2 linked regions of the Xenopus tropicalis genome follow. The protein of the gene in region 1 binds, or shares a complex with, the protein of each later gene. Links are inferred from orthologs where the notes say so. Each region holds a gene or a part of one and is shown in the gene's direction. Other genes may lie near its edges.

What was found.
Region 2: the proteins of ncapg (region 1) and ncaph are in contact, whole or in part, in a crystal structure (PDB 6IGX), measured with the Homo sapiens proteins. The link is inferred for Xenopus tropicalis from reciprocal best matches to the Homo sapiens genes NCAPG and NCAPH. Residues at the interface, in NP_071741.2 of Homo sapiens: Lys11, Phe14, Arg15, Gln18, His50, Tyr51, Lys53, Tyr54, Val55, Met56, Val57, Glu62, Ala64, Val65, Val68, Phe102, Ser106, Glu108, Ala109, Asn110, Ser111, Val114, Arg115, Ile149, Arg150, Lys152, Asp153, Lys154, Arg159, Glu188; in NP_056156.2 of Homo sapiens: Glu471, Ile472, Asp473, Phe474, Glu475, Asp476, Asp477, Ile478, Phe480, Val482, Tyr483, Phe484, Arg485, Lys486, Thr487, Ala489, Ala490, Thr491, Ile492, Leu493, Gln501, Asn502, Trp503, Ala505, Thr506, Thr507, Leu508, Phe512, Tyr514, Val516.

What each region holds. Positions count from the first base shown.
Region 1 is NC_030677.2:29,183,540-29,187,039, forward strand, and holds part of ncapg (condensin complex subunit 3), read left to right. Parts: intron 1-115; coding exon 116-226; intron 227-531; coding exon 532-651; intron 652-740; coding exon 741-1,010; intron 1,011-1,192; coding exon 1,193-1,374; intron 1,375-3,230; coding exon 3,231-3,405; intron 3,406-3,500. UniProt on the Homo sapiens protein: Regulatory subunit of the condensin complex, a complex required for conversion of interphase chromatin into mitotic-like condense chromosomes.
Region 2 is NC_030679.2:125,117,452-125,120,951, forward strand, and holds part of ncaph (condensin complex subunit 2), read left to right. Parts: intron 1-39; 5' UTR 40-49; coding exon 50-285; intron 286-1,916; coding exon 1,917-2,013; intron 2,014-2,672; coding exon 2,673-2,765; intron 2,766-2,865; coding exon 2,866-3,004; intron 3,005-3,500. UniProt on the Homo sapiens protein: Regulatory subunit of the condensin complex, a complex required for conversion of interphase chromatin into mitotic-like condense chromosomes.

The sequences.
Region 1 (3,500 bases):
ATTCTAGGAGTTGTAATTAAACAGCATCTCAAGGGGCACAGGCTGGACATCACTGCTAGAAGACTTGATATCACTGTATTAGATAGCTAACTGAATATTCCCTTTTGTGTTCTAGAATGACCCAGAAACACTCCTGAAATGCCTGATTATGTGTAATGAACTTCTCAAGCACCTGTCCCTTTCCAAAGGACTAGGGGGAACTATAAACGAAATTATTGAATCTCTGGTAAGTTTATTCCTGACCTATGACTGGACATAACACAGTTGCAGTTTAGAACTGGGGCAGTAGAATAATGACATGAACATAAAGATACATTACATGGAGTCATGTGGGGCCGGAGAATTCTTCTCCTTCCAGAAATCTGCCGTCCTGGGTTAAAGGAGAACTAAACCTTAAAGAATTAAGCTTTTCATGTTGCACGTCAGTTTTGTTCTTTTTTATTTATTTATTTTTGCCCATTACTGTTTAAATAGTAAAGGTTCAGTTTATTTCATCACTGCTTTTCCTCAATTTTTTTTTTTTTGGATTAGATTCTTCCTGGCATAACCAACGTTCACCCCTCTGTTCGGAATATGGCAGTGCTGAGCATTGGCTGCTGTGCTCTGCAGAATAAAGGCTTTGCAAGGCAACACCTCCCACTGTTATTACAAGTAAGAAGGAAAATCTCTATATGGAGCCATTATCCGACAGTACTGCATGACTGTTTATTTCTTATTTTTCTTTTTCACCTAAAAATCAGATTTCCCAGCTGGATGAGGTGAAAGTCAAGATCAGTGCCCTGAGCGCAGTGTTTGATATGCTTCTGCTCTTTGGCCTGGACATTCTCAAATCCAAGCCCTCCAATCCTGATGATTCCCAGTGCAAAGCTCAGGAGAATGCAGATGAGGAGATTTCTGAGGAGGAAAAGCCGGACACGGTAGATGAGACGCTGACTAATGAAGAAGTCAAAGAAGAAACTGCTACTGTTAATGGCATCCTGCAACTGTTCTCTCGCTTCTTGGACAGTGAGGTAACCTAGCCAGGGCTGTGCCTTCTCATCAATGGTCTCCTCAGGGGCTGCTCTCTCTCTGTTGGTTCCCTGCCCACAAGCAGTGCCCACCAGATGTTTAGGAAATCCAGTGTGATAATTAAAGGAGAATTAAAGAGAGTTTTCATGCTGCCTGTAACTAGCCTCATTTGGTTTCTTGTTAGATTCCAGAAATAAGGACAGAGACAGCGGAAGGCTTGGCCAAGCTGATGTTCTCTGGAAGGTTAATAAGTGCCAAACTGCTCTCACGTTTGATTTTGCTGTGGTACAATCCCGTCACGGAGGAGGATACAAAGCTTCGACATTGCCTGGGTGTTTTCTTTCCCATTTTTGCATATTCTTGCAGGTATGTGCTGTGATTTACCATTCAGTTATCCCTGTATTGGCTGCTACAGTAAGGGATTTTCAAAGTGATATTCGGGGACAGGGAAGAGTTTGCAGCGTGCAAAGAAAAAATTTAGGCCACATCCACTTTGGGAGACACGCTCCCCATTTTACAAATACATGCTTAGTAAATATATAAGTGAGGGCATTTTCATGTATAATACCGCTAAAACTCATAGCAGGGTGACACAGTGCCAATTCCATGTATAATACCCCCAGAACTCATAGCAGGGTGACACAGTGACAATTCCATGTATAATACCCCCAGAACTCATAGCAGGGTGACACAGTGACAATTCCATGTATAATACCCCCAGAACTCATAGCAGGGTGACACAGTGACAATTCCATGTATAATACCCCCAGAACTCATAGCAGGGTGACACAGTGACAATTCCATTTTTAAAACCCCAGAACTCATAGCAGAGTGACACAGTGCCAATTCCATGTATTATCCCCCCAGAACTCATAGCAGGGTGACACAGTGCCAATTCCATGTATAATACCCCCAGAACTCATAGCAGGGTGACACAGTGCCAATTCCATGTATTATCCCCCCAGAACTCATAGCAGGGTGACACAGTGCCAATTCCATGTATAATACACCCAGAACTCATAGCAGGATGACACTGTGCCAATTCCATGTATAATACCCCCAGAACTCATAGCAGGATGACACAGTGCCAATTCCATGTATAATACCCCCAGAACTCATAGCAGGGTGACACAGTGCCAATTCCATGTATAATACCCCCAGAACTCATAGCAGGATGACACAGTACCAATTCCATGTATAATACCCCCCAGAACTCATAGCAGGGTGACACAGTGACAATTCCATGTATAATACCCCCCAGAACTCATAGCAGGGTGACACAGTGCCAATTCCATGTATAATTCCCCCAGAACTCATAGCAGGGTGACACTGTGCCAATTCCATGTATAATACCCCCAGAACTCATAGCAGGGTGACACAGTGCCAATTCCATGTATAATACCCCCAGAACTCATAGCAGGGTGACACAGTGCCAATTCCATGTATAATTCCCCCAGAACTCATAGCAGGGTGACACAGTGCCAATTCCATGTATAATTCCCCCAGAACTCATAGCAGGGTGACACAGTGACAATTCTATGTATAATACCCCCAGAACTCATAGCAGGATGACACAGTGCCAATTCTATGTATAATACCCCCAGATTACTATTCTGATAAACATTTGACTCAGTAGTAAGTCAGTTATGATGTGTGACTGGCACATTCTATAATGGGCATAGTGTTACTTTTAAAAATACCTGTTCATTTCTGCTGAGCTTGCATATAAATGTCCAAATTGTTTATACATCTAGTCTGGTGTGACTCCCCTCTGGGCTGCTTGTTTGGTCACACACGAAAAGACAAAATAAGGATAAAACCCCAAAATAACTTTTTTGTGAAAGTCCTTTCACCCCCTTACACAGGAAAATGTCTCGTATATAAAAAAGCATTATCGGAGATGGGTCAGAAAACAAAATTAAAGGACAAATGTATCAACGCTTTAAGCTTGGCTATCCTGAAGTATTCTCAGTAGTTTTTCTATTCAACAAATCTTTCCTGACTGGCAGAAAGGCTTTTAATGAGTTGATTTATCACAGAAGGTACCTGCAGCAGTCTGACAGCAGTCACGCGCCCTTCCATTCAATGTCACCCAATCAGATCCTTATTTCCCAGTGTTTGTTTACTGAGAAGTAATCATTGGTACTACTTGGTACAAATATGGAAGCCCTGGTGAAGAGCCCAATAACAAAATTTTTTTTTCTGTGATTATCCTTCTGCAGGTCAAACCAAGAATGTTTTGAAGAAACTTTCTTCCCCACTTTACAGACTCTCTTTAATGCCCCGTCGAGTTCTCCTTTAGCCGATGTCGACGTTGCTAATGTCGCAGAATTGCTTGTGGATCTTACCAGACCCAGTGGGTTGAACCCACAGAACAAACAGCCACAGGACTATAAGGTACTTGCTGGTTTCCTGTGTGTATGTGTGTATGTGTGTGTGTATGTATGTATGCATGTATGTATAATGATGTCATTTGTGTCACATGACTCACT
Region 2 (3,500 bases), on another chromosome or scaffold:
CTGTATAAGTTGTAGCTTGTAATTCTTTGTATTTTCTAGATAAGACAAAATGAGTACATCAACTCCTCAGTCAGGAGTGCGCAGAAAGCCAGCAACCCCAGACAGTGCTTTTCTGTCCCCAGCCACTAGGCCTCAGCCCGTCAGTGCGGCTGGTACTCCCACTCTGCAGAACTTTACTAGCAATGATGATGAACGGGAAAGGAAACTTCGGCGTATGTCCAGGGTCATTGACCTGCAGCTTAGCAATGCTGATTCCCCTGCATCTGCCATTTCACCAGCTCAAAGGTAATTGACCAGTTATCTAGTTTGTGTGTCTGCTTTAAGGGGCAAAAAAATAAACTCTTTCAGCTGAAGTGTTATAGTGGTACATTAACTTTTTTTTACTCGTGAGCCACACTCAGATGTAAAAATTGTTAGTGAGCCACACTCAGATGTAAAAATTGTTAGTGAGCCACACTCAGATGTAAAAATTGTTAGTGAGCCACACTCAGATGTAAAAATTGTTAGTGAGCCACACTCAGATGTAAAAATTGTTAATGAGCCACACAAGCATGAAAAAAAGTTCTTTGGGGATGCCACTGTGATTGGCTATATGGTAGCCCCATGGGGAATGCTAGCCTGGAGGAGGCTCTGCTTGGAGTAAAACTGTGTCTCTGTGCTTCCAAAACTTGCCTCCAAGCCAGAAATGTAAAAATGGGCACCTACTCTGAGGCCGCTGAGAGCAACATTAAAGGGGGTGGTGAGCAATATGTTGCCCACGAGCCAGTGGTTGGGGATCACTGTTATAGACGGACCTATTCTAAGCTACTTTTCATATGGTCGTTTTTTTGTGTTTTATTAGCCTTCCTATTCTGTTTATTAACAGTCTGCAAATAAAAACGCCAGCTAGTTGTTGGGTCACTCAATTTTATTGTTGTTCTTATTTTTTTATTGATTATTTTTTGTTCAGGCTCTATAGTTCCCATTCTGACATTCAAACTGCTGCCTGGGGTAATTATACCTTGGTAACCAGCTACCAATCCAGATGTGAGGCCCATGAGCCTTAGAACAGAAAATTTAAATTAAAAAAATTGACTATATCCATATTGCCTTAGGAAGCTAATGTTCTCACCAACCCCTAGGAGTAAATTAGTGCTACTGCAGGGAATGTAGTTTATTGTATACAAAGCTGGACAGTTTCAACTAAGTTGGCACACTTGTCATTTCAGAATATAAGCTCTGTATATGTATGTTTTTATTCCATTTCCTTCTTAACATGCTGAGACTTTATGCTTATGTCTCAGAACAGAAATAAAACAAGCAATGGTATCTAACCGAATCCTAATTAGCATATGCTTCCGTGTTAACATGACAAAAAGTCATGTGATTTTTTTGGAATCAAATATGATTCAGCCGAATCCGAAAAAGGCTGAACCCTGGCTGAATACTGAACAGAATTCTTGATTCGGTGCATCCCTAAAAGAAAGGTTAAAATCACTGGGGGTGCCAAGTTGTTTCTAGTGTTGAATGAAGGAGTGTGTATGGCTAGTTCTAAAATCACTAAAGAATTTATATACCAGTCTCTAATTCAAACCACTCCCTGGGAATTTGGACCCTAGCAACAGTATAACTGCTAAAATTCCAAACCAGACCGCTTCTGATCAAAAAGTGAATAATTTTAAAAAAAAAAACACAAATAAAAAATAAAGACCAGTTGCAAGTTGTCTCTGTTGTCAACATCATACTTAAACTAAACTCAAAGGTGAACAGCCCCTTTTAAAATAATTCCACACATTCAAGTGGTAGTAAAAGACAAAACTCTTGTATTAAAGACATTCCTGGACAATTATTGGTTATGTATTTGTTGAAATTCTACAAAAAAGAAACATGTTCATGTCATAATATAAATGTGTTATTTTTTTTTTTGTTTTTTTTAGCAGGGGAATAGATACTCCAACATCTCTACTGCCCAAATTAAGCAACACGCAGATTTCAGATCATTATTCCACCTGCATTAAGCTGTCTCAGGAGAATGTGAGCATTTTACTAATTTAATCTGAAAAAGTCTCTCCTGAAATACTGTTCTAGTTAATTGCTTTGTAAAAATATACGCAGTTTACTGTCTTTTACTTTTATGACTTATTTTTCCCGCAGGATTAGAAGTATTAATTATTTACCATTTTACTTTTAACGTTATTAAGGGAAAAATTGGGGGATGATACAGTTAAAATAATTGTTTTTCTCTTTACATGGACCTGCTATGTCAAAGTAATTTTTACTTCTTTTCTGCAGTGGTGCGCAAACATTTAACGCTTTACTTATAGCAATATTAAATCTTTCTCAGAACTTTTTCTCTATTATACTTTGAGAATATCTATAGCACCTTAGAATATGCACTTGTTGGTCTAAAGCTGACCTATAAGGGCAGACCCATAGTTTGTGGCCATAGGCTGAGTTTAGAGTCTCTGATAAATTAGAAATATTGTATATGCAGGCTATTTTTGGACAGATGGTTAGATGTGTTCTCCTTTAATCATCTTTACTGTCAGCAGTATTGTGATAACATGGGCTGTTTGCTTTATACTTTGTAATGGTTGTGCTTAGCCATCTTATTGTAAGCAATGTTGTAGCTTAACTATCCTATTGGGTCTTCAGTTGCTTTGGTTTGACCTTGTAAAACTGTTCTTCCACAGAAAATAACAACTAAGAATGCTTTCGGGTTGCATTTGATTGATTACATGGGTGACATCTTGAAGCATAAAGACAGCGAATTAACTAACTTTAAAGTAAGTGAACTTGGCTCTCACAGATGCAACTGTTGCTTAGTATTAAAATTTCACACATTCAGTGCTCATTTTGCCTTTTGCTTTTGACACTTGATTTTAGGTTGCAGCTGGGACTCTGGATGCCAGTGCCAAAATATATGCAGTGCGAGTCGATGCTGTTCATGCAGATGTCTACAAAGTGCTTGGTGGGCTAGGAAAGGAATCTCAGGCAACTGAGGACACAGACAACCAGGAAATAGGTAGCATAATGTTATCTGTTTATTTTATATAGCAGAATACATTTTACATAACTCTTTAAAACTACAGTGATGAAATTCACATATATAAGAGAAGCTGATGAAAGCCCAAGAGCCATCAGGCGATAATTAGAATATAAAGTAATCATTTCATGTAGTTAAAGACAGTTACATCAATCTCTGAATGAATGTAAGTTGAAAAGTTGCTTAGAATTACATATTCATTCATTATCCAAGAGCTGCTATTCTGTTCGCTAAAAGATACACGCAAGTCATGTTAAGATCAGAACAAATGTTTTAGGCTGGTGAACAATGGCTTCACTAGTTTAAGCCTGATGATACAGTGTTAAAGAAAATGTTAACCCTCAAAAACAAATTAATGTTACACTGCTCAGAGCACTTTTCTAAGCACTTGTACAGTAATACATATTTTTTTTCTAGATTTCAAGATACACTAAAAAATTAGATTTAAATAACAGTGCTGCCTGCTTGGGTAGTT